Linked DNA regions of Struthio camelus. The protein of the gene in region 2 binds, or shares a complex with, the protein of the main gene of each other region. Links are inferred from orthologs where the notes say so. Each region holds a gene or a part of one and is shown on either strand. Other genes may lie near its edges. The genes, in order: KANSL2, KANSL1, KANSL3 and PHF20.

What was found.
Region 1: KANSL1 (region 2) and KANSL2 share a complex: the UniProt entries of both Homo sapiens proteins name them as parts of the NSL complex. The link is inferred for Struthio camelus from reciprocal best matches to the Homo sapiens genes KANSL1 and KANSL2.
Region 3: KANSL1 (region 2) and KANSL3 share a complex: the UniProt entries of both Homo sapiens proteins name them as parts of the NSL complex. The link is inferred for Struthio camelus from reciprocal best matches to the Homo sapiens genes KANSL1 and KANSL3.
Region 4: KANSL1 (region 2) and PHF20 share a complex: the UniProt entries of both Homo sapiens proteins name them as parts of the NSL complex. The link is inferred for Struthio camelus from reciprocal best matches to the Homo sapiens genes KANSL1 and PHF20.

The regions. Positions count from the first base shown.
Region 1 is NC_090969.1:1,056,999-1,064,288, reverse strand, and holds the start of KANSL2 (KAT8 regulatory NSL complex subunit 2), read right to left. Parts: upstream 3,008-7,290; 5' UTR 2,816-3,007; coding exon 2,569-2,815; exon of another isoform or gene 2,498-2,568; coding exon of another isoform or gene 2,488-2,497; coding exon 2,437-2,487; intron 2,362-2,436; coding exon 2,100-2,361; intron 1,068-2,099; coding exon 889-1,067; intron 248-888; coding exon 133-247; intron 1-132. UniProt on the Homo sapiens protein: Non-catalytic component of the NSL histone acetyltransferase complex, a multiprotein complex that mediates histone H4 acetylation at 'Lys-5'- and 'Lys-8' (H4K5ac and H4K8ac) at transcription start sites and promotes transcription initiation.
Region 2 is NC_090966.1:4,396,989-4,404,809, reverse strand, and holds the start of KANSL1 (KAT8 regulatory NSL complex subunit 1), read right to left. Parts: upstream 3,007-7,821; 5' UTR 2,947-3,006; intron 2,182-2,946; exon of another isoform or gene 2,066-2,181; 5' UTR 1,906-2,065; intron 1-1,905. UniProt on the Homo sapiens protein: Non-catalytic component of the NSL histone acetyltransferase complex, a multiprotein complex that mediates histone H4 acetylation at 'Lys-5'- and 'Lys-8' (H4K5ac and H4K8ac) at transcription start sites and promotes transcription initiation.
Region 3 is NC_090968.1:1,247,935-1,255,903, forward strand, and holds the start of KANSL3 (KAT8 regulatory NSL complex subunit 3), read right to left. Parts: upstream 3,008-7,969; 5' UTR 2,957-3,007; coding exon 2,739-2,956; intron 548-2,738; coding exon 377-547; intron 1-376. UniProt on the Homo sapiens protein: Non-catalytic component of the NSL histone acetyltransferase complex, a multiprotein complex that mediates histone H4 acetylation at 'Lys-5'- and 'Lys-8' (H4K5ac and H4K8ac) at transcription start sites and promotes transcription initiation.
Region 4 is NC_090959.1:1,298,320-1,306,320, reverse strand, and holds the start of PHF20 (PHD finger protein 20), read left to right. Parts: upstream 1-4,989; 5' UTR 4,990-5,131; intron 5,132-7,603; exon of another isoform or gene 7,604-7,643; intron 7,644-8,001. UniProt on the Homo sapiens protein: Methyllysine-binding protein, component of the MOF histone acetyltransferase protein complex.

The DNA.
Region 1 (7,290 bases), on a different chromosome or scaffold from region 2:
GTCCAACTGCAACATCATTAATAACGTCATCGCTTTAACATAACCGCCATCCACCCTGGTATCACCCGGAGTTCAGGGCGTTCTGCAGGACACGCGTAACCAGCTAGGAGCCGCCACCACCACCCAACTTACTTCAAGGGATCCTCCTGGTCGCTATCAATGCTGTCAGCCTCGCTGTCCGGGTCCCCTCGCCACGTCTGGTCCACTGTGATAGGGTCCTGCTCGCCGTCGCTCCAACTGTCGTCATCTGCAAAGACAAGTCTCCGTGAGAGGCAGGACCCTGCCCTGCTTCCCAGGGCTTGTTACTCCAGCACAGGGCAGCCAGGGACCCCGGGGGAGGCTGTTCCACGGCAAGTACGGAGGTGAGCCAGCTCTGTCTCTCCTCCAAGAGAAACTTCTCCCCAACACAACGTGAGCGAGCAATATGGTACAACAGGAAACCCACCAATTAATTATGTGCAGCCAAAATATACAGCTCCTGTGGAGTAACATTCTTGCCTACTTAAGAACCACGAACCGCCTGCCGGCTCCCCACCGAGTGACCCTGCAAGATGGGAAGCTCACCACCGAGCTGTAGGGAACAGACACATCTAACAGCAGTGTTTGACAGGCACAGCAAGAGACTAAACAAGCAATGAGGGGAGCTTCCAGACACGTCTACCGAAGAGAACCCACAAGATTTTGGCCTGGTGATGGGACATACCTATAATGTGACTTATCTGCAGTCACTGGTAGGCAAAACACACAGGGGTGTGGGACACGATCTTTTGCCACAGACCCCAGGATCCCTTTTCTACCACTGGATTTAATAAGCAACGTTCTTGGCGTTTCCAAACAAAAAAGAGAACTCCTGGTTCTCTCTCACCGGTTTTCACGTTAAATTCTTACCTAGGATTCGACTGGCTTCACTGCGGCTACTCTCTGCAGTCTGGGAGCCCAGCTCTGTTTTGGCGTAAGAGCTAAGCTGGCAAAGGAGAGTCTCGCTTACAGGTCCAGGATTGGACTTTTTCATCTGAGCTTGGAGTGCCAGAGTATTCCTACGGGCATGTTCCGCGCAGAACGACACACTGAGCAAATAAATCAAAAACACGTTACGACTCCAAGCTCTCAGTCAGCCAGCAAAACGAACAAGCGATACAGTGAGAAACGCTCCCTGCCATTTGGAAGGCATACCCCACTCCACAGCTACCCTTCGTGAGCAAAACGTAACCATCTATCACCGGCTGCCGGTATCGTTCAGAAATGCCAGAGAGCCCCAAGTGGTTCGCAGACCACACACCACCATAAAACGCCACCTCTGGCACTGAAGCCGGCAGCCACATGGCACAGCAGCAGGGAGAGAAAAGGGCTTTTTACTTCAAGCCGCAGAGGTAAACTGCTTCCAAACATTCACGCTGGACTTTAAAGTTTTCGTGCAGAGCACGTTGGCCCACATTAGATGCATCCTTTTTATCGCAGAGGCACCAAGGGCAGAATCAAGACTGCTAACGTTCAAATTTCAGTGACCTCTGGGAAGTAAATAAAGGCCGACGCTCCAATAACTGCATTCTGCTGACGTGTTTACTGGGTGTCAATAATTATTCTAGGCCTTTTCATCTGTAACAGCTGGAACATTTTACACGCATCAAGGAACAACAAGCACAACCAGGTCATCAACTCCAAATAATACATGACCAGAGGATCTGTAATACATGACCAGAGTATCTGTGTTGAGGATTAACCCTAAGCACAGACACAGACAACTCGAGTTTGCCAGGGTTAGCTCAGGTGCAGCACCATGCGGATGCAACCGCAGCTCCCACCAAGCACCCTGGCTCCTGAAACAGCACAGCCACCTTCTGATGACAGAGGGCAGCAGCCTGATAGTCCTGCAGGACCAAAAAGACTCCATGCAGAGCTCTCAGTGCTCACAGTCTTTCTGCTGGATTAACAATGCTTCAAAAATGGAAAATCACTTGTCTGAGGTTAACATAAGCGCAGCAGCAGAATAAGGAAAAGGACCTGCAGAGACCTATGCCTTCACCCCATGGTACTCTTGCTTCTGCCTCTTTTAACTCTATACAGTACAGAGCAAAGGACTGGGAAATGGAAATGCTTACCCATCCTTTTTCTCTGGTTTGGGCGCAGCGTTTGGACACCGCTTTCCGTTCTTTGTTGAAACGTAGCTGCACTGCTTGAAAGGAGCAGTCCTGTCTTCCAGAATATGCTTAATACAAAACTCCTGCCCTTCCAGCCGTGGCTGCGAACACTGGCGGTGAGTAAAGGCACATGACAGAGGTTCCTGGGGCCGCGGCACAGGAGTAAGGCGTCCTCGACTTGACGGCAAAACATGGATCCGAATTCTGTTCATGCCAACACCTGCTAGAGAGATACAGCTCCAATTAAAAGAAATTAAGCAAACGACTGATAAAAAGAAAGAGCAGTCTCTGCTAATACCTGCCAACTTCTGAATAAAACTCTTTGTCCTCCTGGGACGAGAAACTGTTCCTACAGACATAGTTTCATGGGAAACTCGACTTCACAGTAACCCCAATTCGGCGGCAGAGGAAACATGCTTCACTTAGGTACCTGAGCTTCCAAGCGTTGCCACCTGCCAGCAGCGTGGCCAGGGGTACGTTTTCCAGACCCCCTTCCCTCTCTGCACAAACCCTCCACGCCCCAGCGGGCAACCGCTCCAACCCCACCATCCCAATATGCAACCCCTTCCTCCCAGTGCAGGATCTGCCACCCGATACAGAACCATTCCCTCCAGTCCCTCGATACCAGGCACCTTCCTCCCTGTGCAGGACCCCCCACCCCTCAAACACCCTCCCATATACACCTCCTTCTCGAGTGCCCAATCCTCACCCCCACCTTTGCACTCCCTCAGTGCAGCACCCCATGCTCCCAATTCACAGGTCACCAGCTAAGCCCCAGTATAGGATGCTTTCGTCCCAGCGCACCCCTAAGTGCTGGCCCCCCCTACTCCCGGGGCACCTCCATGCATGATTCCCTTCTCCCAGTGCACCCCCGTGCAGGTCCCCCTTCCTCCTGGTGTGCCCCCCCTGCACGGCCACCACCTCCTCCTCAGGCACCCCCCCGTGCATGTTCTCCCCCTCTCCCGGTGCACCCCTCGGGGCACCCCGTATGGATCCTACCCTCTCCCGGTGCAACCCGTGCACGGTCGCCTCCTCCCCGGAGCACCCCTCAGTGCACCCTCGTACAGATCCCCCCAATCCCGGTACACCCCCGGGGCACACCTTGGTGCATTCCCGTGCAGACTCCCCTCCACTCCCGGTGCACCCTCCCGGAGATCCCCCCCCTACCGGTGCACCTCGTGCACGGCCACCTCCTCCCCGGTGCACCCCCATGCAGATGGCCCCCCCCGGTACACTCCTCGGTGCACCCCATGCAGATCACCCCTCCTCCCGGTGCACCCCCTCGGGGCACCCCGTACACGGCCGCCTCATCCCCGATGCACCTCCCGGTGCACCCCCCTAGTGCACCCCCTGCACGGCCGCCTCCTCCCCGGTGCACCCCTCGGGGCACCCCGTGCACGGCCGCCTCCTCCCCGGTGCACCCCTCGGGGCACCCCCGTGCAGAGCCGCCTCCTCCCCGGTGCACCCCCCTAGTGCACCCCCCTAGTGCACCCCCGTGCAGACCCCCCCCCCCGGTGCACCGCCGCCTCCTCCCCGCGCACGTGCTCCGCCACCCGCCTCGCGCCGGGCCCGCGCATGCGCCCTCGCGCCGCCCGGCTGCCCCGGCGCCGCCATTTTGTCCGCGGGCGGCGGGCGTGAGGGGGGCTGCCGAAGGGGCCCAGGTGGCGGCGTCGACGCGGAGGACGGGGCGGGGGATCGGTGCCCGCGGCCGGGACGGGTGGGGAAGAAGCCACCGGGGGAGCGGGCAGGCGGCGGGGCCGGCGGGCTCTGCTCGGGGCGGGCGGCGGCGGCGCCGCCGCCATCTTACCTCGCTCGCGCCCCAGCCTGGCCGCCGTCTGCGCCGCGCGCGCCCGCCCGCCCCTCCCGCCGCCTCACTGGCTCGCCCCGCCGCCAATCCGCGGCGGCCGCAGGGGCGGCGCCGCACGCCGTTGGCCGAGCGAGCCGTCCCTCCGCTCAGCGGCCGGCCACGCCTCCTCCCCCCTGGGCGGTCACGTGGAGGGGGGGCGCGGTGGGAACCGACACGTGGGCGCGGGGCCGCCGCCGCCGCCGCCAAGGAAGAGCTCGGGACACAGCGCTGCAGCTCGGCTGCCTCCTTTGCCGTTCACTTTTATTGATGTGGATAAATACACAGCGAGAGACAGTGCCCGCGAGCGACCGAGCACCGGCGCCGTGCCCGGGGAAGGGGGGGGGGGGGAGTGTCCTTACCGGGCGCCCTTACCGGCGGCCGCTGCAGCCGGTGAGCGGAGGCAACGCAGCCGCGGCCCCGCCGCGGGGGAAGCGGGGTTGCGAGCACCCGGCAGCCCTGAGTGAGAGAGGAGAGACGGAAGCAGGTTTCGCATTTTGGCTCCGGGAAGGCAAAAAGCTCCCGGTGGCCGCGGGGCACCGGCTCGGCCGCCGCCCCCCCCCCCCTTTCCCCCGGGAGCTCCCCTGCCTTTGCCCCTTCCCCTGCAGGAGGGAAAGCTCTAACACCGGTTACGGGCTAGAGCAGGTAGCACACGTCTATCTGGTTTTTAAAAAGTTTCCCGAAGTTTAAATATTTATAAATGTTTTAAGAATAATACTCAAAAGCACCTTCCTTACCCTGGCTTCGGCTCTCGCTCCCAGCGCTCGCCCGAGCAGGGAAGAGGAAAGCATGAGGGGAGGCTCGTGTTACCCCTCAAGCCCCCCCATGGGGAGGTGGCAGGTACAAATCAGAAACAGCTTTAGATAGAAAAAGAAAATTTAGGTCTGCGGCCAGGTGTTCTCTGCCGGTACACGACAAACGCCCCAGGCTCTTTCCGGCAAGGAAGAGGGACGCACTTTGGGGGTGCCCAGGAAAAGCTTCTTCGCGTTCAAGAATATAGCCTGAAGCACGGCAGCAGGAAACCCAGAGACAGCCCAAACTCGCGTCCAATAACCTCCTCTGTCCTATCACCTGAATCCACCCTGGAGGTAAAGCCCCCGGCCACGCTGAGGGCCTTCGCGCATCCCCCATCTCACGCGCCCAAACACAACACCAGCTCACAGCCACACAAACCACAAGCGCAGCCTTAAACAAAAGGACGCAGAAATCACTCAGAAGAGGATTGCTTCTGCTGGTACCGCCTGCGAGACAGAGGTGCAGGGCACCCGTCTCGCCTCCACGCGTAGGCCTGAATGGGCACTAAACGCTTAAGACCTGCCCAGGAGACGCCTTCGCTTGTGGCAGATGTCTCCAGCCAGTGTGGCAGTGACCCTGCAGTTAAGGCTTTTGCAGCAACAAGAACCAGACGTGTAGCTCGTCTTGAAGATGCTCAAGTTTTCCAGGACACGCGCAGAGACTCACTAGCGCGTTACACTCGATACCTCCCTGCAGAGAAGGCTGCAGCTGGAATTGCTCCCCTACTGAATAAGGGAAAGGGCAGCACGATTCGCCGCAACGCCTGACAAACCATGCCGCGCAGGCTCTCAAAGCACCCAGGTAAGCAAGAGACAAATCTCTGCTGGGAGCTTCAAACATAAACTCTGTACCTAAGAGGTTACCCTGGTGGTTGACCAGCTCCAGCAAGCTGGCACTGGCAAGGGTTAGCATTACTGATTGCTCTTTAAAATAAGAGGAACTGGATGTAGAACAGAGTTTCACAAAAACATAAGGAGACAGTACGTTTATTGAAGTTTGGAAAAGTATAGTCCGAGAAGAAAATAAGTCGGCTTTTCCAAAACGTTAGACTGAAACTTCCCACCTCCAGCTGGATTCCCTGTTCCAGGATTTAGGTAGCAGTAAAAGCTAGGTTTCCAACTTGGAGAGATAAGGGTTGCGAACAGCAAAGTGCACACAGGATTCCCTGTCCAGCCAGCAGGATCTTGTGCCTGACACCGGGCCCAGAGCCGAGGAGGATCTGCAGTCGCTCAGAAGCTGCCCGCCTTGCCCATTTTCATCGTATTTCCCAACTGCGAGACCCGCGATGCAGCTCCTCTCAGATTAAGCCCTGTGCAACTACAGACCACATCTGTCAACGTATTTCACGTTTATACCCAGACTAGGCTCTACGTGGCTTACATGCTCGAAACACCATTTCCCAGGCTGTGGTCCAGCCAGCTCCACACCCTTCCTGCACAGCTGCCAGTGGCACCCTGCAAATGGACTCCTAGATTTCACGTTAAGCTGATATTCTGCCAAGGTATCATTCTAGCCAGCTCCAATGCAGCTCTCCGTCAACCCAGCCGGGCACCCCTTGGGCACAAGCCCACTCCGCATACGAGGCCCCTCGCCTCAGAAGCCGAGCAGTGCTGGGCCAGGCCAGCCACACGTGGGCAGCTCCTCCGGACCCTCTCCCCAAAACCGCCACCTGAGGTGACAGACAGGCCCTCAGCCAAGCCCGCAGTCACCAACCACCTCGCCCTGGATGTTCACATCGCACCAGCTGCCACGAAACACCACCACCAACACCCCAACGTTTCCGCAGCCCTTTCCATAGCCAATGTTAAGAATCGCGATCCGTAACATGACTTAAACGCACCCCGTTCACAGCTCTCCCCGTTCGCACCCCTGCTTCCCTCTCCCGCATCAGCTCCGCACCACCAGGAGGTGAGCGAGGTCTCACCGCGCCATGCTGACTCCTGGCCCTTCTGCTAAGCAGGTAACACGCAAGGTGAGGCTGGCGAGACTCTCCTTCACCATCACCCCAGAAGCCACAACCTCCAACATGCACCTTTCTCCCATGAACCGCCACCTTTCAGGGGGGATTTTTCAGCAGAAGCAACGTGACCTGCCAGGCAGTCTCTCGTTCAGCAGGAGGGGAAGAGCTGAGGGACAGAGGAAGATACCGGATCCTCCCCCTTCGCTCAGAGAGGGAGAGACAGCCTAAACGAGAGCCGCTTTTGCAGATGAGGAAACTGAAACAACAGCAGGCAGAGCAACTCCGAATTACCCCGAGTCGGCAGCAGCTGGGATTCCCTCCGCTGCCCCGGCCGAGCTGCCTCCAGCTCCTGCCCTCTCCTCGCACCACTTCCTCTGCTCCATCCCCGAAAAGCTCCTGAGCCACTTTCCATCGCCAACAGCTCGAACGGAGCCTCCTGACCAACGAGACGCAGCCTGAGCCCTTCACGAGGGTCCCCTGCAGCACCTGCCAGCATTACAAAATTAAAATGAACAAAAACACTAAGATATAAGTTACTGCTTAAATTATTTGTA
Region 2 (7,821 bases):
CAGTTTAGACAGCATAGGAACAGGAGACATACTCGTACATTCAGGAAACAAGGTCCGACTATATCCACTTCACAAGAAGCCAATACCTCTAAGCAAAACTGCTGAGAGGACAGGAAAAAGTCTGACACAACTACTGTCTGCAGATCTTCCTTGGTACGTTCTCCAGCAGACTTTGGCTAGCTATATGCAAACCACTGTCACAGGCAAACCTCCCTCCTCTCAACTCCTGCCAGCTCGAGGACAGTAGAGAGGATCTGGTGTTATCTTCCTGTGTGCCCATTGCTGATCCACTCAGTCGGAAAAAGCAGACATCTTTAGTACCCCTCCTATAACCAAAAAGGAGGTTCTCTCTCAAGCTGCCAGGCATAGGTCCAGGCTGCACGGCACAGAGACCACCAGCAGCTTTTCTAGCTAGCAACATAAGGATGACATTGCCCTTCAGTTCTGCAGCAGTTTAAGCACTTTAACATTTTACTTTACTGCCCCTCCTCCAAGCTTCCTAGACTGAAGCACAAGGCTAATTAACTCAGATTTTTAATCAGAACATTTTGTTGCACAGAGCAACACTACTTTCAACTGTAGTAGACCCTCATTAGTTGGCATATAGCACACTTAAATCATAGGACTGACAACGTCTTAAGGCGACACAAGTATCCATGCAAGTGTCAAACTTCATACAGCCCTATAGTAGGTTTGGCCAATACGTTGATCTCTGGCGCTTTTGAAACAGGGACTGATCTCCAGAGAAGCGGCATGATGACTTCCTATCACTTTCAGGAGGAGTTGTAGGAACACAGACTTCTGAGAAGAAAGCGTTCACATTTAGCGATAACCTCCAAAACCTGTAACAGGGAGCTTTATTTTCTTATTTAAAGCCCACACAAGAACTTACTGTTATTAGGCATACACAGAATAAGAGCCTTTACTGTTGTGTTAGCCAACTGGAGATCAGATACCAGAGCAGATTTGTCTAATGTCAGTGTGAAAGGATTGAGCAAAGATTTTAGGTTTTCCTATTACAAAAGAATTTGTCTAAATTCAGTCCTCCATAATCGGACTGAAGTCAGGCTGCTTTGGCTTGTAGATCCATGAAAAAAGGGAACTATCCTTCCCTTCTATGTTTCATTTCAGCTTGTATTCAGATTCACTAACTTGATTATTATACCCAACTGCTTAGGACACAGCTCTTTTACTGTAATGACATTATCAGGATAACACATGACTTCTCAAAACAAGCACCAGCAAATCCTCACAACCATCCTTCCCAGATACAGTAGCACTATGGCCACTTCACACATGGGAAACCCAGAGGTTTGGGAAGGTGAGCAGATTTGCCCATCCGAGAGAACTTCAGTTTTCATGGGACAAAGCCAAGTCTATTAGGCCACACTAAAAGGTATACACAGAAGTCTCTTGAAATTAGAAATACACATAGAAGCCAGACCATGTCAGCAAGCAAAAGGAATCTGATAGCTGTAAACCTCTGTTTTAAGGATGCACATAGTAAGGGAACAAACAGAAGAGATCATTCTTTTTCATGGCAAGTCACACTTCTACATCCAGATGTAGTACATGAGGACAGGTAATACCAGGAAATACATACGTATACTGCCAAGAGGAGGCTGCACATCTCCTCGCTACATACGGGCATTAGAACCGTTTTTGAGAGAAACGCTCTGCGTATATGGAACGAAGCCACCTTTTCAGCCGTATTCCTGAACCTCCATGTTAAAGTTAAACATTTGCCAGGAAATTAGCGCGGAGGACCGGACTCTTCTCGTAAAATCAGAAACTAAAATAAAGCCTGTGAATACAACTCAGCATCTCAAACTCTGGTAGTTTTGCAGTGGGCGAAAGTCTAAGATTCTAGCTTACAATGGAAGAGCAAAGAACGGGAGCTCTTACCTCGCTGGACATCTTGGTAAAATCCATCCTCACCGACGGTAGTTCAGCAGGGACACCCAGCAGCGCGGGGAGGGACTTTGAATCCTTCCAGCCTCGACGAATTCCTGGTAGGTCTGCGAGTTCTTTATTTATTTATTTGAAGAAGTGGAAAATCCAGGATCTGTAAGAAGGGGTTGGGGGGGGGGGGAACAAAACGTAATTAGAGGGAGCAAACGGAGAGACGGCCAACAGACAGCACACCGACTTGCTTCCCTTCGCGGCGTCGTGCCGCCGCCTGCTCGACGTGCGGGGCCGGGGCGGCGGCGGCCGCGCCCCCGAGGGCAGCGCCGGGCCGGGCCACCCGCCGCCGGTCCCCGGCAGCCGCGTCCCACCGGACGGCGGCGCGGGAGGGGGGGGGGGGGGCTGCCCCCCCCACCCCGAGGAACGGGCTGAGCTCCCAGATCCTTCTAGAAGCCCCCCCCCCCCGCCCCGGGATCCTCCGGGGCTTCGGTTTCCTTCGGAAACCGTTGGGCTAAAATGGAGGCTCGGGGGGGGGGGGGGTGTTGCGCTCCCCCGCCCCGCACGCAGCCGGCCCCGCCGCGGCGGCCGCGGGACGACGGCGGGGCGGAGCGCGGCGGAGCTCGCCCCGGCGCCCCGCGCCCGCCCGGGCCCTCGGGCCGGCCCCCCCCCCCCCCCGGCGTGCCCCGGCTCCCAACTCACTCGGCGGCCGCGCGAGCCGCCCCCTCCCCCGCCTCGGCCTGGCGTCTCGGCTCCGGCCGCCGCCGCGCACCGGCCCGCGCCCCCCCCCCCCCCCCGCAAACGAGTTGCGGGACGGCGGCGGCGGAGTGGGGGGGGGGGAAGGGAAGGGGGCCGCACTACTTGGCCTGGCGCTGCCCGTGGGCAGCAGCGCGGGGAGCAGCGGCGGGTCCCCTCCGCCAGCAGCGTGGCGGGGGTCTCCCCCCCCCACCCACCCACGGCGGGTGGCCCCGGGCCGCCCCCACCGGGAGGGGGGGGGGAGGGGGGGGGCACCGGCCCCGGCGGCTCCCACATCCCAGCACCTACCTGCACAGCTCAACCAGCCTTGAAGTGGGGACCTTCCGCCCTCCTCCCCTCCCATTGGCTGCGCGCGGGGCATGGGCCCGCCTGGTTGGCCGGCGCCCCGTCAGTCAGCGCCGGGGGGGCGGGGCGGGCGGTGATTGATGCCGGTGCTCGGCTCGTTCCTGCCTCTCGCTTGTGTTTCCCGGAGAGGCTGGAGCCGGGGGGGGGGGTGAGGGGCACCGGGCCGCCCCCCCCCCCACACACACACACACACTGCGGGGCGGCCCCGGCGGCAGCCCGCGGCGGCGGCGGGCGGTGCGGGCCACCCTGTTGCTCTCGGCATCGGCCGCCGCCGGGGTTGGGGGGGGGGGGGGGCCGCAGCCGGCGCCCCCCGGGGCTGCCCCGCGGCCCGGCCGGGCCCGAGGCGGGCGGCGGCGGAGCCTGTGGCCGCCGCCCGGGCCTGTCCCCGGCGGGCTCTGCTGTGACACGGGCCGGCAGCGGCTGCCCCGGGCAGGGCCCGGCCGAGGCGCGGGCTGCGGCGGGCGAGCCGGGCCGGGCCGGGCCTCACGGGGCCGGTCCCGCCGCCGCCACGGGCCCGGCGAGGGAGGCGCCGGCGCTGGGGCCGCCCTGCGGGGGACAGGCCGGGCCTGGCGGGGGGTGGGCCGCGGCGGCCTCGCCTCAGGGCCGGCGAGGGGGCACGGGTGCCGCCGGGGCCTCGTGTCCCGCTGGGGACCGGACAGTCGGGTCCCACGGGTGACACGGGCCTCGTGTCCCACTGGTGACAGGACAGTCGTGTCCCCCAAGTCACACAGGCCTCATGTCCCGCGGGTGACACAGGGCTCGTGCCCCACAGGTGACACAGGCCTCATGTCCCACTGGTGACATAGGGCTTGTGTCCCATGAGTGACAGGATGGTCATGCCCTGCAGGTGACATGGGGCTCATGTCCCACTGGTGACAGGACAGTCGTGTCCCACAGGTGACTCAGGGCTCATGTCCCACTGGTGACAGGACAGTCGCGTCCCACAGGTGACTCAAGGCTCATGTCCCACTGGTGACACAGGGCTCATGTCCCACTGGTGACAGGACAGTCATGTCCCACAGGTGACACAGGCCTCATGTCCCACTGGTGACATGGGGCTTGTGTCCCATGGGTGACAGGACAGTCATGTCCCACTGGTGACACAGGCCTCATGTCCCGCTGGTGACAGGACAGTCGTGTCCCATGAGTGACTCAGGCCTCATGTCCCACAGGTGACATGGGGCTCATGTCCCACAGGTAACACAGGCCTCATGTCCCACTGGTACTAGGACAGTCATGTCCCGCAGGTGACATGGGGCTCATGTCCCACTGGTGACAAGACAGTCACGTCCCATGGGTGACACCAGGCTCCCATCCCCCAGGTCCCGTAGGCTTCTGTCCCACAGATGACGCAGGACACGCAGCCAGCCAGGGAGGGACATGGGGAGGGTTAAGCAGCAGCAGCGGAAGAGCTGAGCGCGCGAGATGGGGACAAGGGGGCGAAGAGGAAGCGCTGGGAGAAGGCACGACAGAAGCGCACAAAATGAGGCAGCCTGGGAGGCTGCTGGCGAGCGTTTGGGCTGCAGGAGGGCCGGAAATAGCCATTTCTAGCATTTGTAGGGAGTGTTAGCTCCCTGGATTGCTGGTGGAGCTGAGCTGCACGCACGCGCTAAGCAGAGGGTCCCAGGGTGGGAGGTGCAGGGAGAGGCACCCAGGGGACTGTCATCTGTCTGCTGTCATCTTCACACGGGATCTTTACGCTGGGACGAGTTGCTCGGCTTCGACGTGCTGCCAACACCTTCTGTACGTCGTTCTCTGACCTCAGCTAAAATGGTTTTGAAACTCCTTCCTGCACTTTGTTCTCCTTCAACAAGTGGTTCAGATCTTCATCTGAAAACTGGAGACTGTCCCAAGCAGTCCTGCTTGGCCAAAGTGGAAAGGTGCAAGCCTGCAGCAGATCCAGACCAAGAAGAGATCAGCTAACACGAGGAGAGCACTCGCTGCTCTGTGGGTAGCTCTCTGTCTTTGGCCACATCTGTGCTCAGGAAACGGTGCGCCTTGGCTGTCGAGTGAATTAAGTTGGAGTTTCAGTACTGTAGCAGACTAAAGTAACCCCAAAGCTGCTCCCTGGAGTTTATCATGACCCACTAACTTGCCCAAACGCTGCAACCTGTCTGGTGAACTCTACCGTGATCGTGCATCTTACAACGTCACATCTTTTCTCCCAGACAAGGTAAAGCCTTCCCCTGATTTCTTCTTATTCTGCCTTCCCACTTGAGTAGACATAATTGATGCCGTGGCGCAATTTATCCAGTTGCTGCCACTAGGTTTTTTTTTTTCAGTTTAGTTTTTATCCATTTCATGAGCTGGTTTTAATTCAAATAAAGGCAAGAATCCATGTCCAGCAGGTCTGGGACAAGATAAGCTCCTTTGAGCTTAACCGATGGTCTGGAGTTTCCTAAAGCAGCAATCCTGAGATGTTTTAGTCGTGTCCTAAAGAGAGAATAGCTGAAATGCTTGCAGCTTCTAAGGGATCATTATGTCTCAAGCAAGTTGTTAGGAGAGAGAAGCCAACATTTTTGCATATGAGAAATACCAGAATACAAATATAAAAAAGGAACTGCACTTGTTTCAGACAGGCAGCAGTGAGGTCCTGCAGTCTTTGGTATTCTTTGTGCACTAATTGCCAAATTAGTATATGATGCCTTGTATTGGGAGCTTAAAGCAATGAGAGTAACATAGTTTAGCACTCTAGATTTCCAAGGTGTCCAGAAACTAGTCAGTTGACTCTATGATCCTTCCATGCGACAAGAATTAGTATTTCCATTTGGGGAAACCGAGGCAGAGAGGACATTTAAGTTGCTCCAAATGTGTTAACAGCAGAGTCAACAGTAACGGTTCTTAATGCCATGGCTCCTCCCCAGGACAAGCCATCGTAAAATACCTCAAATGTCTGAGAAAGAGTGAGTTCTGCTGGATATTTCAAAGGAAGAACGTCTCAGTTCTAGCTCTGTGGGCAAGCAGCAGAGCTGTGATGGACACCTCCGGATCCATTTTAATCTCGAGCTTCCCTTCACCTCCCCAAAGTCCAGGTAGTTCCAGCCACCTGATGGTGCTGATGGAGAGACACTGTTAAAACCAGAGGCTTTGCATGGGATTCGCTGAACGTTTGTAACTCATCTAGTGTGTGGAAGCAGATCGCCTTCTGTGTCAGAGGATTACCATGCATTCGTTACTAAATGCAGGTAGTCTTTTGCTGTTGAACAGGTATTTTAAGTTTTAAGGACCAAAATGACAGTTGAGTTTCAGAGGAAACTTCAAGTAAGACCATTTAGATGCTGGCCATGCTCCTGTTTCTTCAAGATTGGCTTCTAACTTTTCTAAGCGTGTCTAATAATATACATCAGCAGCGGAGCTGAAGCTGGATTTCAGCAGATTTGCAACCCCTCCTTCCAGGAAACCCTGCTGGGGGGACCCCCCGGTGCCCACAGCGGTAACCAGCCGAAGGAGATGCTCCTCCGGGGGGCTATGTTTGTGCAAATGGCTGAAAATAACTCGTCAGCTTTTTTTTTTTTTCGACGACGTGGGCTAAAAGCGTTACCCTCCTGCGACAACTCAGCTCGTCCGTCTTGGGCGCCGTCTTCAGAAAAACGCGGCTGAGCCGCTCGCGCGCGGGTCTATGCAGAGGACTGGATACCGTGCAACCAAATCTCCTCCGGCGGTGGAGGTTGTTCTCTGGCGCAAGACAGCTCCTCCGGTGGGGGGAAACGTCCCGACCCGGCGCCCCGGGCCGGGTTTGTCCTACCCTCCGTGACGGGAGGTACCCGGCTCCCGAATCGGTGACAGAAAGTACGTCCGCCTCGCCCAGCTTGCTCTGAAGGCAAGCGCCCTCCTGATGGCCTTCGAAGGACCCGCGGGCACGTGGCGTGGACTTCCGGCCCTGCTGAATTTCCTGGCGAAACTCCTCTGCGTTTAAATGAAAGTTCACAGACTTCTGACGCGGAGCGGCCCCTTTTCGCCCTCCTCTACCTCCCCGGCCCCGGGAAGGGCAGCTGGCGCGCGGTGTTGGCCATCGGGCCGCGGACACCCCTGTGGCGAGGAAGCCGGGCTCTGCGCAGCGCTGCCGGCGAGGAAGGGCCGTCGAAAAGCGGTGTTTTCTCCCCCAAAACAAAGCTGAGGGCCGCAGCGCCGGCGGAGGTTCGTCACCCCCCTGGAGCGCGTGTGTCACCCCCCCCCCCGGCGTGGGTGTTTCGGGGGGGGGGATCGCTGCGGTCTCCCTCGCCGTGGGGACGCCCCACGAGGAGGCCGCGGCCCTGGGTTACCTGCCTCGCGGCGGTGCCCTCGGGCGAGACAGCGGGATGCGGCCCGTCTCCGCCCAGCGGGAGCGCCCAGAGGAGCGGCGGCGGTGGCGGTGACGGCGGCCGGACGCGGCCTTGGCCGGCGCTGCCCTCGCCCCAGGGCGAGCCGGGCCGGGCTGGTTGACATGGCCGCCGGGCCGGGCGGCGGTGGGTGCGCTGGAACCTTCCACGGCCCAACCACCGCGGAACCGCCAACCCGCCGCCCTCCCGTCCCGTGTGGGACATGCCATGGCCGCCCCATGTTCCCATCCTCGTGCTGGGCACACATGGTCACCTCATGCTCCCACTCCCGTGTTGGGCACACGTGGTCGCCCCATGTTCCCGTCCCCGTGTTGGGCACACGTGGTCACCTCATGCTCCCACTCCCGTGTTGGGCACACGTGGTCGCCCCATGTTCCCGTCCCCGTGTTGGGCACACGTGGTCACCTCATGCTCCCACTCCCGTGTTGGGCACACATGGTTGCCCCATGTTCCTGTCCCCGTGTTGGGCACACGTGGTCACCCCATGTTCCCGTCCCCG
Region 3 (7,969 bases), on a different chromosome or scaffold from region 2:
AAGACTTCAGTGAACACAGAGAACGCAAAGCGAGCGTAGTCAAGCACGCGCTGCATTGGACCGGATTCAGCACGCCGACTCGTCCTCCCTAGCCCTCATTCACCGGCTGCAGACACAGAAGAGTCACCTCACTGCTCCGTACCACGATTTTCCTCTCCATTTCTGCTTTTTTTCTAAAATATTTATGGCCCCAACTGCATTTCACACAGCATCTGGCACTACACCATCCTCTGGCTGGCTGCGGCTTTATATACTAATACGTGCTGCAATGTAACCAGCAAGATGAGTCCCCGAAGCACAACTGCCACAGCTACTGCATGGATAGTTACTTAGGATCACAATTTCTTTCCTCTGCAACCCTGGCGCCCCGCGTTACCTGTTCACGTGTTCCTCCCAGTCATCTGGCGGAGGAGGAGCATCAGCATCCGTGCGCGCAAACATCACATGGCGCTCACACTCGTTCATCACACTGCGGGCTTTCTGGTTGTCGTAGAGCGGCACAGGCGTGGGCGTCACTGTTTCGACATCGATGGGGATATCTGCTTCGCTGTGAGGAAAATTTCACTTTAGAAAACGGGATGTAACCTGGAAAAAACCTGAGCGGATCAGAGAGCGCGCCTGATGCCTCAGGGATCTGTGTCTACCTGCCCCAGGTACGCACGAGACACCCGTGAACTTATTTTGTCCGTATTCCCACATCTCTCTCCAAAGATGCTGCGACTAAGTGGACTACTGTGGAATTGCACTCTTTGTAATGAGATCTTGCATTTGGAGAGCACACCGTGGGGACATGCTACACTATAAAAATCAAGAAGAATTTGTAACCAACTGGGACCTTGGGTCCAACTCTTTCCCATAAATCCTGACTCAGGCTGCAAGACCGAATGCTGTTCGGACAGTTGTTTAGATGGTGTGAATATAAACCACCGAAGCATCTTAGGCTTAATATTTAATAAAGTACCTATAGCTTCTGGCAGATGTTTTTAATCACTTTAGCCACTAGGCTTCATAAGCAGGTATCTTATCATTTCTGGTCTGAGACTAGGCAGTCTTTTTTTCCTGTTTTAAGCTCTACAAATGAACGTGCCTTAGAGGACCCTGCTAAGCCTGGTCTTCTCCTGCCAGAAGAGCTGCTGAGCAACTAATGTTTAAGAAAGCGAGTTTCGCGGCCAGCACCTGGGCCGTGACACAGGACAGGGAGAAGCTACTTCCTAGCAAAGGACCCAGAGATCATGGCCCAAAAGCAAAGGAGAAAAACACTGAAGACGCGAATGAGCCCTGATCCCAAAGACATCCCAAGCCGGGCACCAAATCCCTGAGCTCCAGCCTCAAGCCCATTCACAAGCCCAAAACCAAACGCTTGAGCCTTGACCCCCCCCGAATCCTGCCATGACCCCTCAAGCCCCATGCTGCGACCCTGAGCGCACCCCCATACCTCACCCCACATCTTCAGGCTGATTGCAACTCCAAACACAGCCGTAACCTCAGGTCTGTCCAAACCGCGCAGCTCCAGTCCCCCCACAGCACCCAAGTCCAGCCCCACAGCACGCACACCCCCCAGCTGCCCCCCAGAGTCCCCCCACTCCCCACTCCAGACCACCTAGCCCCACAGGAGCCCCCCACTGCCCCCTAGAGACCCCCCCACTCCCCACTACAGACCACCCAGGAGCCCCCCACTGCCCCCAACAGCCCCCCCGACCCTCTAGGAGACCCCCACTGCCCCCTAGAGATCCTCCACTCCCCACTATAGCCCCCCAGACACCCCCCACTCCCCACTACAGCCTCCCTAGCCCCACAGCAGGCCCCCACTGCCCCCCAGAGACCCCCCACTCCTCGCTACAGACCATCCAGCCCCATAGCACCCCCCTAGAGACCACCCACTCCCCAAAATAGCCTCCTCAGCCCCACAGTAGTCCTCCAGAGACCCCTTACTCCCCACTACAGCCCCCTCCAGCCCCCCAGAGACTCCACACTCCCCACTACAGCCCCCCCAGCCCCCTAGGAGTACCCGAGACCCCCCCACTCTGCTCTACAGCCCCCCCAGAAGCCCCCTAGAGACCCTCCACTCCCCCCTACAGCCCCTTAGAGGCTCCTACTCCCTCCTACAGGCCCCGTAGCCCCCAGGAGTCCCCTAGGGACCCCCCACTCCCCACTATCCCCCAGGAGCCCCCCAGGCACCTCCTACTCCCCCTTACAGCCCCCAGGAGCCCCCCAGGCACCTCCCACTCCCCCCAACAGCCCCAATACAGCCCCCCAGACACCCCCTATTCCCCCATACAGCCCCCTAGACACCCCCCACTCCCCCCTTACAGCCCCAATACAGGCCCCTAGACGCCCCTCACTCCCCCCTAACAGCCCCCCCAGACACCCCTCACTCCCCCTCAGCCGCCCCCCAGGAGCCCCCTAGACACCCCACTCCCCCCCAGCTCCCCAGGAGCCCCCCCAGCCCCCCTACAGCCCCCCAGGAGATCCCAGACACCCCCCACTCCCCTCCAGAAGCCCCCCAGACACCCCCACTCCCCCCCAGAGGCCCTCTAGAGACCCCCACTCCCCCCCTAGCAGCCGCCTAGACACTCCCACTCCCCCCGAGCCCGCCAGGAGCCCCCCCCAGCCCCCCTACAGCCCCCCCTCCCCCCCGACACCCCCCACTCCCCCCTACAGCGCCCTAGAGGCCCCCCACTCCCCCCCACAGCCCCCCAGACACCCCCACGCCCCCCCGCTCCGGCCCCGGCGCTCACAGGGCGCTGTCGGGCTGGCGCCGCGGCGTGACGAAGAGCATGCGGGTGGGGCGGGCGGCGCTGGCGTCGGGGTGGGCGCTCCAGGGCTTGGCGTAGCTGTGGTCCAGGCACACCAGGTCCAGCTCCCGCTCGTGCACCGACAGCTGCAGCAGCAGCGACGTCCCCATCCTGCGCGCCGACCACTGCAGGTCCCGCTCGCCGCCGCCGCGCTGCGACATGGCCGCTAGCGCCGCCGCCGCCGCCGCCCGCGCCGCATCCCGCGCCAGGGCCGGGCCGGGGGCCGCGCCTGCCGCTGGGGCCTGGGCCGGGGCCGCCGCGCCGCAACGCGCATGCGCCGCCCGCCCGGGGCCGGCTGGAGCGCGCACTGGAAAGTGCGGAGCGGAGTTTGAGGCCGGGCGGAGCGGAGCGGAGCGGAGGGCGGCGGGGCGCGGTCAAAGCGCGGAGAGCGGATGCAGGCGGAGCGGAGTGTGAGGGAGAGGCCCGGTGCGCGGGGGCACGGGGACACAGGGGGACATGGGGACACAGGGGGACACAGGGGGACATGGGGACACAGGGGGACACAGCGACATGGGGACACGGGGACACGGGGGAATAGAGACACGGGGACACACGGACATGGGGACACAGCGACACACGGACACGGGGATATGGGGACACGGGGGTACACAGGGCTATGAGGATATGGGGACACAGAGACACGGGGACATAGAGGCACAGGGACACGCAGACATGGGGACACAGTGGCACGAGGACACAGTGGCATGAGGACACAGCAGCTCAGGGACACAGCGATATGGGGACATACGGACATGGGGACATACAGACATGGCGACACAGGGACACAGTGACACAAGGACACAGCAGCTCGGGGACACAGCGACATGGGGACACACGGGCACGGGGTCACAGTGACATGGGTACACACACATACAGGGGACACGGGGACACGGGGACACCCTCCCCCCCCAAGGGGACATTGAGACACCAAGACAGAGTGACGTGGGGACACAGCCCCGTGGGGACACAAGGACCCAGGGGCATGGGTACGCACCCTCACGGGACGCCAGCACACACGTGGGGACACGGGGCACCCACGGGTACGGCCTGGCACAGTGACACGGTGGCACCAGCCCCCGCGAGTGCAGGCAGACACAGTGCTGCGGGTGCTGCAGGGTGCCATGGGGTGCTTTGGGGTGTCATGGGGTGCTGGGGGGGGTCACAGAGTGCAGGGGGTGCCATGGGGTGCTGCAGGGTGCCATAGGGTGCTGGGGGGTGTCAGAGAGGGCAGGGGGGGTGCCATGGGGTGCTGCAGGGTGCTGAGGGCACCATGGGGTGCTGTGGGATGCCACAAGGTGCTGTGGGTGCCATAGGGTGCTGCGGATGCCTTGCGGGGTGCTACAGGGTGCCATGGGGTGCCACAGAGTGCCATGGGGTGCCGTGGGGTGCTGCAGGGTGCCATGGGGTGCCGTGGGGTGCCGTGAGGTGCTGCAAGTGCTGTGGGGTGCTGTGGGGTGCCATGGGGTGCCATGGAGTGCTGTGGGCTGCTGCAGATGCTGTGGGGTGCCATAGGGTGCCACAAGGTGCTGCAGGTGTCCTGGGCTGCCATGGGGTGCCGTGGGGTGCTGCAGATGCTGTGGGGTGCCACAGGGTGCCACAAGGTGCTGCAGGTGCCCTGGGGTGCCCTGGGGTGCCATGGGGTGCTGGGGGGCACGCCACGACCTGAGACAGCAGCAGCAGCAGCAGCAGGCCCGGGGCAGCCTGTGCTTGGCACAGGGACCCTGGGGCACCGTCCGTCCCCCCACTGTGACCCGGCGTTCTGGAACGCGCCGCCGGCACCTCGCACCCCGGCTCGGCACCCTGCGCCCCGGCCCAGCACCCAGCTCCCTGCGCCGACATGCTGCGCCTGGTGGTGGCCAGCGCTCGCATCCCCGCGCCGCGGGCGCCCATCGCCGACGTGCACGTGCGCGCCGAGTTCAGAGGTACCCCAGCAGCTGGGACGGGGGACGGGACGGGGGACGCCTCCGGGCAGCACCCACCCGGCACGCACCCAACCTCCTCCCTGTCCCCAGGCGTCCCCAGGAGCACCCGAGTGGTGCCAGGCGAGCGCGACACAGCGTGGAACGAGGTGAGGCCACGTGGCTGCAGCGGTGGCATCAGCATCACTTTCCCATGATGGTGGCATCACTTTCCCGTGGTGGTGGCATCACTTTCCCGTGGTGGTGGCATCATTTTCCTGCAGTGGCAAATCACTTTCTTGCAGTGGTGGCATTGCTTTCCCATGGTGGCAAATCACTTTCCCATGGTGGTGGCATCACTTGCCCATGGTGGTGGCTTTCCCGTGGTGGCACCACTTTCCCGTGGTGGTGGCATTGCTTTCCCATGGTGGCAAATCACTTTCCCATGGTGGCGGCATCGCTTTCCCACGGTGGTGGCATCACTTTCCTGCGGTGGTGGCATGACTTTCCTGTGGTGGTGGCATTGCTTTCCCATGGTGGCAAATCACTTTCCTGCGGTGGCCGGCAGGAGCCGAGCCCCAACGCCCCGCGTGTCCCCGCAGACGCTGGTGTGGCCGCTGGGCGCCCGGCCGCTGGAGCCCTCCGCCGTCGTGGCGCTGTGCCTGCGGCAGTGGGGCCGCCCAGCCACCAACGGGTGAGTGGTGGCAGACGGGGACCCTTGCCGGGGCTGCCGCCGCGCTCACCGCCCGTCGCCCCGCAGGGACCTGGGTGCCGCCACGGTGCCGCTGGGGCAGCTGGTGGCGGAGCCGAGCCGCCCGCTCGCCCTGCGCAACGTGCCGCTGCTCGACCGGAACCGCCGGCCCACGGGGGTGAGCGCCCAGCACCTTCCTCCTCCTCGTCCCGGCGGCACCCGGCGGTGCTCACGGGCACGTTGCTTCGCAGTGCACCGTCACCCTTAGCTGCTCCTACGTCCCCGCCGGGCACGAGACGCCGCGGGCGCCCAGCAGAGCTGCCGCAGGTGAGGACGCCTCCTCCCGCCCCGGCGCTCGATTTGGCCGCGGGGACGACAATGCGCCGTCCCCTTTTGCTGTGCCTAGAGGTGCCGCGCGGGACCCCCTGGCCGAGCCCCGGGAGGGAAGCGTCGGGAAGGAAACAGGATTTCCAGGTAACGCCGAGCACCGGCGGGGAGACTGCGGCAGTTTTTTCCCGGCCGGGCGGTCGCAGCACCCATCGCGTCCCCGCTCCAGGTGCGAGTGCGGATCATCGAAGGGCGCCAGCTGCGCGGGAACAACATCAAGCCGGTGGTGAAGGTGTTCATCGGCGAGCACGTGTTCCGGACGAGGATCAGGAGCGGGAACAACCCCTACTACGACGAGGTGGGCGGGAAACAGGGCGGGGAGACGGCGGGAAGCGGCGCCGGGGAGTGAGCGGCGGTGATTGCGGCTGCCGGCCCCTTTCTCCCCAGGTGTTTTGCCAGAATTTCCGCGAGACGCTCGCCGGCCTCTTGGAGCAGCCCATCCACATCCAGGTAGGACGCGGCGGCGGGCGCGGGTGGCCCCGGCGGGGCCGCAGCCGATGCCGGAGCGCGGGGCGGCCGGTCCCGCAGGTGCTCAACTCCCAGGCGGTCCGCGCCGAGTCCGTCATCGGCGTCTTCAAGGTGAGGGGCGACGGGGTGGGGACGGACGGGGCGCGCCGGAGGAAAGGGCCGCCGTCTCACCTTCTCACCCGCACCGGCGCGCAGCTGGACGTCGGCAGCGTCTACAGCTCACCCGGTAGGTGGGCATCACGGCGGTGGCGGCAGCGGACGGGGTCCCCTCGGTGCAGCTGCTCAGCATCTGCCTCCGGCAGGTCGGACGCTCGCCTGGAAGTGGCTCGGCCTCCACCACCCCGACCGCCTCGACGCCGGCCTCCGAGGCTACCTGCGAGTCAGCCTGAGCGTGCTGCGCGCCGGGGACCCCGCGCCGGTGAGCGTCCCTGCAGCCAGCCCCGCTCGGGCGGGCGCTGAGCTTCGCCGCCGCCGCCGCCATCCACCCCATCTCTTCTCCGCCAGGACCAGGCGAAGCCAGCCGAGAGCGAGGACGTGGAGGCCAACCTCCTGCAGCCCTCCTCGCTCCCCGCCTGCGTGGCAGCCCTGCAGCTCCGCGTCTACCGGGCCGAGGACGTGCCCCAGGGTGAGCGCCGGCGAGCGCGGGGACGGGTGCCGCGGGCTGCTCCTCCGGCACGGCCTCATCCCCGCCTCTCTCCTTTCCCGGTGTAGAGGATTCGGCTTGGCAACATTTCCCATCCGCGCTGCCCACCGGCAGGAGGAATTTCCTTGCCATGGAAATCAGCTTTGCCGGCAGGACGGTAGGCGTGAGGGCTGCGGGCGGGCTGCGGCGATGCTCCAGGCCGGCGGCTCACGGCTCGCCGTGCCGCAGCTCCGCACCCGGGCCGTGCCGCCCAACGCCAATCCCGAGTGGAACGAGGTGCTCTTCTTCCCGCTCCGGGTGAGACGCGCCAGCCGGGCTGCAAAACCCGGGGCCGTGGGCTGCGAGGCTTCGAGAGCGCCCACGCAAAGAGCCTGCCCGCCGGCGCCCCTGCCTCAGCCTTTCTCCCTCCTGCCCCCCAGCTCCCCTACGTCTGCGACGAGATCCGCCTGGCTCTGCTCAGCGGGTAAGCGGGTGCCCGGCGAGCTGCTGCTGGCTCCCCAGCCTCCCCGCAGCAGCCTCTGAGCATGCCTGTGGCAGCCCTGAGCATCCCCACAGCAACCCCCCAGCATCCCCACAGCAGCCCCCCAGTATCCCCTCTGCAGTCCCCCAGCATCCCCACAGCAGCCCCCCAGCATCCCTGCAGTAGCCCTGAGCATCCCCACAGCAACCCCCCAGCATCCCCACAGCAGCCCCCCAGTATCCCCTCTGCAGCCCCCCAGCATCCCCACAGCAGCCCCCCAGCATCCCTGCAGCAGCCCCCCAGCATCCCCACAGCAGCCCCCCAGCATCCCTGCGGCAGCCCTGAGCATCCCCACGGCAGCCCCCCAGCATCTCCACAGCAGCCCCCCAGCATCCCCACAGTAGCCTCCCAGTATCCCCACGGCAGCCCCCCAGCAGCCCCGTGGCACCCCCCCAGCATCCCCATGGCAGCCCCCCAGCATCTCCTCTGCAGCCCCCCAGCATCCCTGCAGCAGCCCCCCAGCATCCCCACGGTAGTGCTGAGCATCCCCACAGCAGCCCCCCAGCATCCCTGCGGCAGCCCTGAGCATCCCCACGGCAGCCCCCCAGCATCTCCTCTGCAGCACCC
Region 4 (8,001 bases), on a different chromosome or scaffold from region 2:
CTTGTGCAAAATCTGGTGCTTTCTGAACTCAGCCCTTACCCTGTTCAGATCACAGGCAACAGCAGCAACCAGGTCTCCGCCAAGGGTCACAGGGGGGTTGTGGAGGGCAGGGATGGGGAGAAGAAGCAGGCCCTCTCTCTTTTTTGCATTACCTGTTTACTCTTAGGGCAGGACAAATACACAGAAGAGCACAGGACAGCCAGACCACGTTGCTCCAGGGACCGCAGAGGGGCAGATGGCCCCAAGAGGAGGAGGAGGAGGAGATGAAGGGGGGGGCTACAGCTCACCCCCTCCATGGATCAGCACAGCGCATGACCAGGTGTGTTGACGCAGAAGTGCCCATGTGTTTGCATGTCTCCCCCACACCGCTCCATGGATGCGGCTGTGCCTGCCCTGCCTGAGGACACAGGTTGAGGGTGGATTTCCTTCCCTGGAGATATGCAGTGGGTTCCCAGCCTCTCTAGCTGCTCTGGCCAATAAAGCAGGAGCGAGAAACCAGCCTGAGCTATAAACTGCCCAGACACGGAGTGCAGCCGTGAGGCAGGGGCACTAACTTGGCAAGTCCCTCCTCCCCCACCTCTATGTGCACCTTGGGACCAGGCCCAGAGTTCAGCCAGACCTGAGGGGACCTCCAGCAACACCCTAATGAAAGCAGGTATGATCAGGGGTGAGGCACAGCGAGAAGAGCGGGACACTGGACTGGTGCATGCACCTTGGTGTAAGAGGGCAGGGACAATGCCCAGCTGAGTCTGTAAAAACTCCACTGACCTGTGCTGGTCCTCATCTAATCCCCACCCTGGGCAGACTTTCTGCAAAATCCACTTGTGGGACAGTCCCAGGTCCCCTCTGGGAGAGGGGAGCCCAGCCTGGCAGTAGATGAGCTCAGGGTTCCCGCACCCCTGGGAGCGGCAGCTTCCCTGCTGCCGATGAGCTGCTATAATACAGACAGCAGTGACCCCGCGTGGGCTGCGCAGAAGGCAGCTGGGGGCTCCCTGCCTCTCACTGGCAGAGGCCCTTGTGCAGGCAAAGATAAACCTCTACAGGCACAGAGCCACCCTCTCGCAGCTGCCGTGCCGGTCCCTTGGGTAGCTCATCAAGGAGGAAGGGAGTGTCTTTTGCATGGGATGACACCAACTGATGCAGAGGCTGGCCTTGCAGACAGCTCTGCTGGAGCTGGTTTAGCCTCCTTTTATAGTCAATGCAAGAGGCATTTTCTCAGCACAGTTCCTCTCATGCTGAAGCACAGGCAAGAGGCTGGTTGGATGTTTTGCCCTTGCCACATGCCTGATTTTCTCTGTTGAGAGATGGGGAGGCTGGCTACAAGCTCAGCTCTCCTGCAGGCGAGGGAAGTGGCAGGGCCTGGAGTGTACTTTCCACCAGTTTAGCTGCCTGTGCTCAAGGCCAGCTCTGTATGGCTGGCCATGAAGGGAAAGAGCTGGAAGAAACTTCTCTGGGATCTTCCTCTTCTTCGGGAGCCATGTCTAAGCACATGCCCTCACCCCTGGCCTCTACCTGAGCTGTGTTAGCCATGCATGTGCCTGGCCATGGACTTCACTGAGCTGGCCTCTGCCCCTGTACTGAGGACTAACTTCCTGGCTTGACCCTGGACCTGATTTGACTGATGATCTGGCCTCTTGGCTGACCCTGGACCTGCTCTTGCAGGACCCTCCTGCACAGAGGCTACACCATGCCAGGGCTGGCACTGCCCTGCCATCACCTTGGCTCCGGCTCGCCTGTCCCGGCGGAGCAGCCTGATCCTGCTGCTCCCTGACAGTAAGTCAGGGTGGGTTTATTCCACCTCTGATGTCAAATGAAAATAAAGATTGTGCGAGTGAGGACAGGATCTCTTTCCAGAGAAGACAAGCAAAGGATTATTGATCCACAAAGCTTAATTTGCCTGCAGGTATATTTAGTGATTTCTTTGATGTGTGGGGAAACATTGCATCCCAACTGACCCAGATTAGCTGAGCGGGTTCTCTTGGAGAGGGCCTGGGATCTGTCTGCGATGCAAACGAGTACTTCAGTCCGGTGTGCTGCAGCGGAAGCTCTTGCTCCGTTTGTGCTGGGCAGCGGCAGCCCCGCGGCAGACGCAGCCCTGCCCTTCGCTGCAGCGGCCGGTGCAAGGGAAGCGTTGTTTGCTGGGAAGGGCTGCCGCTCTGTGGTCAGCTCAAACAGGCAGGTACGGCCAACGTTTGAGAGCTTCCGGCAGCGTTAACCATGAATGCCGACATCAGATATTAAATCTTAAGTCTTGGACAAGCCACGAGGAAAAAAAGAGCACAAACTGGCATAGCCATTTCCATGGCTTGCCAAGAGCAGTCGGCTCTCGGGGAGGGGGGGGGGTGAAAGGGCGAAAGAGCAAGGGATTACTTCCCACAGCTCAAAAACAGTGAGATTAGAAAGACCCGCTTCTACAGAGAAGGAAGTGGTTTCTGATATATACCTTTTCATAACAGATGTTCCAAAATTCAGTGTTTTTTAAAATGATGAAAACTCCTTAATGAAATACAGTGCTCTTAAAAAACAAATACAGAAGCAGTACACTGACATTTTAGTGAGAGTTAAAAAAAAAAAAAAAAAGAAAATCTATTTCCCTCAAAACTTTGGAGTGATTTTTCTTTTTAGCTGCTTCCTATTTTAATTCATTCTGAATTGTTTTCTCCTGCCTCCAGACACCTTTAGTGTTTAAACCACACACAAGATTTCCAGGCTAAAAAAAAAAAAAAATCAAACTCATAAGCTTAATTTTCTGCCACATTTTTTTTTTCTGTGATGGTATTTATAGTAAGTCATTCTGCTTCCACAAATTCCCAGTGCACAGCTCACAAGCGCTGCTTTATTAGAGAAGCGTAAGCGGGCAGGGAGCTAAACAGTGCGGGGGGGGGGGGCGACTCTGCCTTAAACCCACCTTTGTGCGCTCTGGATCCTGCGCTGCTCAGGGCGCTGGGGTGAGGCTGATGTCATCGGAGCAGCCAGATTTTTTGCAGCATCAGCACTTTCTGTGGGTATTTGGGAGGAGGAAGACAAAGCAGAAAGGCATTTAGAGTCAGGATTGTGCTTTGCCCACTTACTCCTTTGCACCCAACCCACACTCTGGCGATACATGGCAGGGAGACAGGGCATGCCAGTACTTGACTTTTCTGGTAAACTGAAAATTAAAAAAAAAAGAAAAGCAACTCCTTTCTGATGGAAATTATTTTTTTCCAGCTTTTCTCCCTGAAATAATAATTTGTAATAGAAGTAATTATAAACATTTAATGATAGACTAAAACTTTACTAATTTAACTAATCACTTCAGAATTGTTTCTGCCCCATGATGAGCCCTTTTAATAAGGGGGGCTTGGACCCAGACGTGCCCCGCAGGCTGCTGTGTGCTGTCGGGAGGAAACAGTCGTCGCGGCTGGCTAATCTCTCCCCTGCCCTCCTCCAGAGCCGGTCAGTACCCACAGATTTCACTGCATGCTAATCCCCTTCGCTGCACATACCGTGGCCACAGCAGTTACTCTTTTTTTCCCAACAGCCGATAGGTAACAATTACGCACTTGTCTGTGCTTGGCCGCTGAGCACAAAAATGATGGATTATCTCGAGAAAATCACCTGAAGCAGAAGAGGTTATTCTCTCACAGTGACAAATACCGGAATATTTGCAGTTGAGAACTTCAGCCTGCAAAGATTTTTGCTCTTCTGTATCAGTTTGGTTTTGGCTTTAACCTAGCATAAAACTCAAATTCTTCATCTTCTTTTTTTTTTTTTCTTTCATTGGCTCTGTAAAATGCTGTATCTATGGAAGAATGCAGAGCTCCCTAGCTGTACAAAAGTGTAGCCAGCAGGTTGAGGGAAGTGGTAATTCCCCAGTACTTGGCACTGGTGAGACCTTATCTGTGTCTGGTTTCGGCCCTCCAGAGCAAGAGACGTCACCAAACAGGCCCAAGTCCAGCGGATGGCTGCTAAGATGCTCAGAGGCTGGTGGGCGTGAGGCAAGGCCAGAGGAGCTGCAGGTGTTCAGCCTGGAGAAGGCTCCGTGGGGATCTGAGAGCGGTCTCTCTGCCTCCAGGGGGCTGTAGAGAGGACGCAACCAGCCCCTCCTCGGAGGTGTGCCATGACAAGAGGCAAGGGGCACAAGCTGCAAAAAAGAAAATTCTAGTTGGACATAAAGGAAAAACTTTTCCCCGTGAGAGCAGTGGCCCTCTGGGCCAGGGGCCCAAAGAGGCAGGGGAACTGCTGCCTTGGAAATACTCAAAACTCAACTGGATAAGGCCCTGAGTAGCCTGATTCGAAGATCGCCCTTCTATGAGCCATTACATTGCTCAGATTACATCCTCCCTAAATCCTTTTCTGTTTTTATGCTTAGGCAGACAAACAGACCTCAGAGAGGTGCTGAACCAGCCATCTGAGCAGCGAAGTTCATGGTGGACCCAGACTGCCAGTCTGCTTTCATTTTTGCTCATATTTCACTGTGTTTTATGGAGCTCTGAAAAATACAAAAGTCTTTTCCTTTACACTTTCTCTGAAAGGAAGCGCTTGTGGCGCTGCCAGTTGTGCACACGAGCGGCTCCAATTATTCCTTGCAAGCCAGCGTCTGGGATCGGTCAGCAAAGGACTTCACTGCTCTCACTGTACCCCCCGAAATGCCGTGTGTTCCCGCCTGCGGACCCCTGGCAACGGGGCCCGGCACGTTCTCATGCAGCAGTATGGCTTTTTCCTGCCATTTTCCCCTACTTTAGCTGCCGGGACCGAGCTTGTGGCCCTCTTGCACACAAGAGGAGCTTGCAATGGAGAGCTGCTGAGCCAGCGCAGGGTTTCGGGCCCGCCCGTGAAGAGCTGCCCAGCAGAGGAGGGCCTCTCCTCGGGCAGGCCTCGGGGGACCACGACGCCATTCCCAGCGCCAAGCTAAATTCGACGGGGCCGCGGCGCCTCCCGCCCCGCCCACCCCGCGGCCCCGCCCCGCCGCATCCGGCCCCGCCCCTGCCGCCAGGCCCCGCCCCCTCCCTCGCGGCGGCTGGCGGCGCCGCAGCCGTGGCGGCCATTTTGTGGCGCTGCGCGGTCGGTGGCGCTGGGCTCGGCGCGCGGAGCGGGGCCCGGGCGGCGGTTTAGCTCCTTTCTAACCCCTTTTTCCCGTACAGATCCCTCGGTAAGAGAGCGGCAGCGCCCGGGCGGGCCGGGCCGGGGCCGGCTGGGCCAGCGCCGCCTGCCCCGCGCTGCGGGCCCTGCGGCGGGGCGAGGCGAGGCGAGGCGAGGCGAGGGGAGGGAGGCCGGGCGCGGAGCGGGTGGCACGCGTCCCCGCGCACAAAGGGCCGCGCCGCGTCGCGCCGGAGCGGGCGGCTCCTCCCGGGCGGCCCCGCCGCAGTCCGGGCCCGATGGCGCCCGCGGCCCCCGGGGTGGCCGGGCGGGCGGCGCTCACGCCCCCGCGCGGCGCGGCCTGGGGCGCTGAGGCCGGGGGGGCCTGGGGCGCGGGCCGAGCGCGCTCCCTCCCGGCGCCCGCGGAGCTGCGCGGCCCGGCGCGGGCAGGTGAGTATGTGCGCGCCGAGCGCAGGCGCGGCGGGGCCCGGCCGGCGGGGGCGGCCGAGTGACCTTGCAGCGGCGCCGGGGCCGGCGCGGGGCCGCGGCGGCGGCGGCGGCGGCCGGGTCTGGGCGGCGCCGCGGTGGGCCGTATCCCGCGGCGGGGCGCGGGCGCGGGCGGGGCCGCGGCGGGTGGCTGCGCGGTGTCGCCGCGGGCTGTGGTCGGCCGGTGGGCGCGGGCGCGGCGGCGGGGGCCGTTGGCGGAGGCCGGCGCTGCTGGCGCGTCAGGAAGCGGCGCGGGGCGCTCCCGGCGGGTGCTGGCGCGGCCCGGGGGGGGCGCCGGCGGCCGCTTCTCGCCGGGCCCCGGGGGACGAAGCGGGAACAACCTTGCACGGGGCAAGGTACCTGCCCTGCAAGGTGTTGATTTCTGTAGGTGGTACCGTCAGCTGGAGGTTTCTGGCCTTTTTGTGTCAGCAGAAGTGTGGAATGCATCTCCTTCCTTCTGGTTTTTCTCCTTTCAGAAAGCCTTTTAAAAAGGGAGGTAAAGACAGGTCCTTGCAATGATCCAAAAGTTACCTCGTGTCATACCTGTTTAACATACAGAATGGGGAGGTGCTGTGTTTTTTTTTTTTTTTTTTTTTTTCCCTAGGAGATCTGAATTCCACTATACTGGCTTATTGCCCCACAACTGGATTATAGGACCAGTTGGCTTGAGGTGCACATGCATAGTATAATGGTTGTAGGGCTTGGTTAATTGAAGCAGGCTGTCAGTGCAATTTTGGGAAACCTTTACATCTCCTTTACCTATTTGAAGTCTTCCCAGTGCTAGAAATGCTTCTTTGATCCCAAGCTAGTGTTTCTAATTTAAACATGTGAAAACAGATCAAAAGGGATATTTGAGTGTGGATGAGTACAAACTGGGTAAAATATATTTCTTCCCTTCTGTTAGTGTAGGTAGTTTAATAATGTATGCTGTAGTAGATGAAACCCTATTTGTTAAAATACTATACTAATAAATAACTTGAAACAACTTTTTGTAGGCATCTGTGCAGAAGGTCATAGCTAAGAAAGTATGTAACAGAAATGCTTTTGATCTAGGTTTGTTTATTTGTTTGTATCTGAGTAAGGAATGCTTCACAGGACCTATTTCCAGAAAAGTGAAGTGAGAAGAGTTACGACAAGGATCGTTCATAGTGTGATTCTCTTTTCAATTTTTGTGTGTCTTAATAGTTCTGTAGTTGAAGAAGACTTGGACTTGTTATTTGATTTAAGTTAGCTTGTGGGAGAGTTCAGTTTATGTTCTGGCTGATAACTTTGTTAGTGTTTCCTAAATGGAAATAAAATTTTACTTCATTGTTCTGAGAGTAAAATCTGTTTGCCTGCAATCCAGGGTAATTAATTAAGGTCAAGTTGGGAATGAGGCTAGAATATTAATTGCTCATAACAGTGCTGTCTTGGCTGAAACTTAAGAAGCGCATAATTAATTCTTACTTTTAATTGGGTAAGTTCTCTGAAGCCACTCTTTTGCTCTTGTACATCCTGGATCACCTAGGCAATGATATTGACCTAAATTCTCCCCCTTGTTCAGGAAAGAGTGTGATCTCTAATTTATTTGTAGGGGATGTTAAGTTTTGTGTAACTGTATCTTTGATCTGTGACTGCATCTCTGGAAACTAAATGGTGTCTGTGGTTGTAATTTGTCAGACCTTGACATAAGCTAACACTGTTATAGAAAAGCCATATTGCCACTTCTCATTTCTGCCCATATGGCACTGTCCTGTGCAGATGTGAGCACTTGGGCTACAGCATTGTGAGCTGAGCTAAAGAATGTGCATGGGGGAGGGTTTATTGTTTAGCCCTGCAAGTGGTTGCCCTTGCTCAGTATTTAAACTGTGTTCTTGATTCTTGCCTAGTTGTGTGGGTGCAGGGTTTAAAAAAAAAAAATAGTTGTAGATATTTTGGATTTACTGTTGCATTTATATTGAAAAGTTTTGTGGAGCGTTTGTAGCGGCTCTGTCAGCAGTTCTACATGTCTACTTTTCTTTTTTTACTTTGTTTTATTTTTTTTATCATTTTCATACTTTTCTTACTTGCTTGTCCACAGGGTTGTTATCTTGTGCTTCCTGTAGAAAGACTTTCTTCAGGTAAGAAATAGTGACTAAGTGCTGTCATCTGGTGCTTACTGTCAAAATGCCAGTAGTAGCATGACCTATATCTTCCAAAAAACTTCTTGGGACTGGTGGCTTTTCAGGCAGTGTTCTTGTAAAAAGCATTTTTTGGTGGATGGAAGCACCAAATTTAACTGATCACTTGTGTGTAGATGTATAGTGTGGCCGTTCTCACTGACTGCAGATGCATGTGGCAGAAAATAGTGCATGTTAGTATGTAATATTTACTGTTTTTTGAGTCTTGCTAATTTGCTGACAAGCCTTTGTCTGTTTTTTACTGGGCTTGAGTACTTCTGGCCAACCTTGCTTGAATACAGCCAGCTGAAGTCTGCCT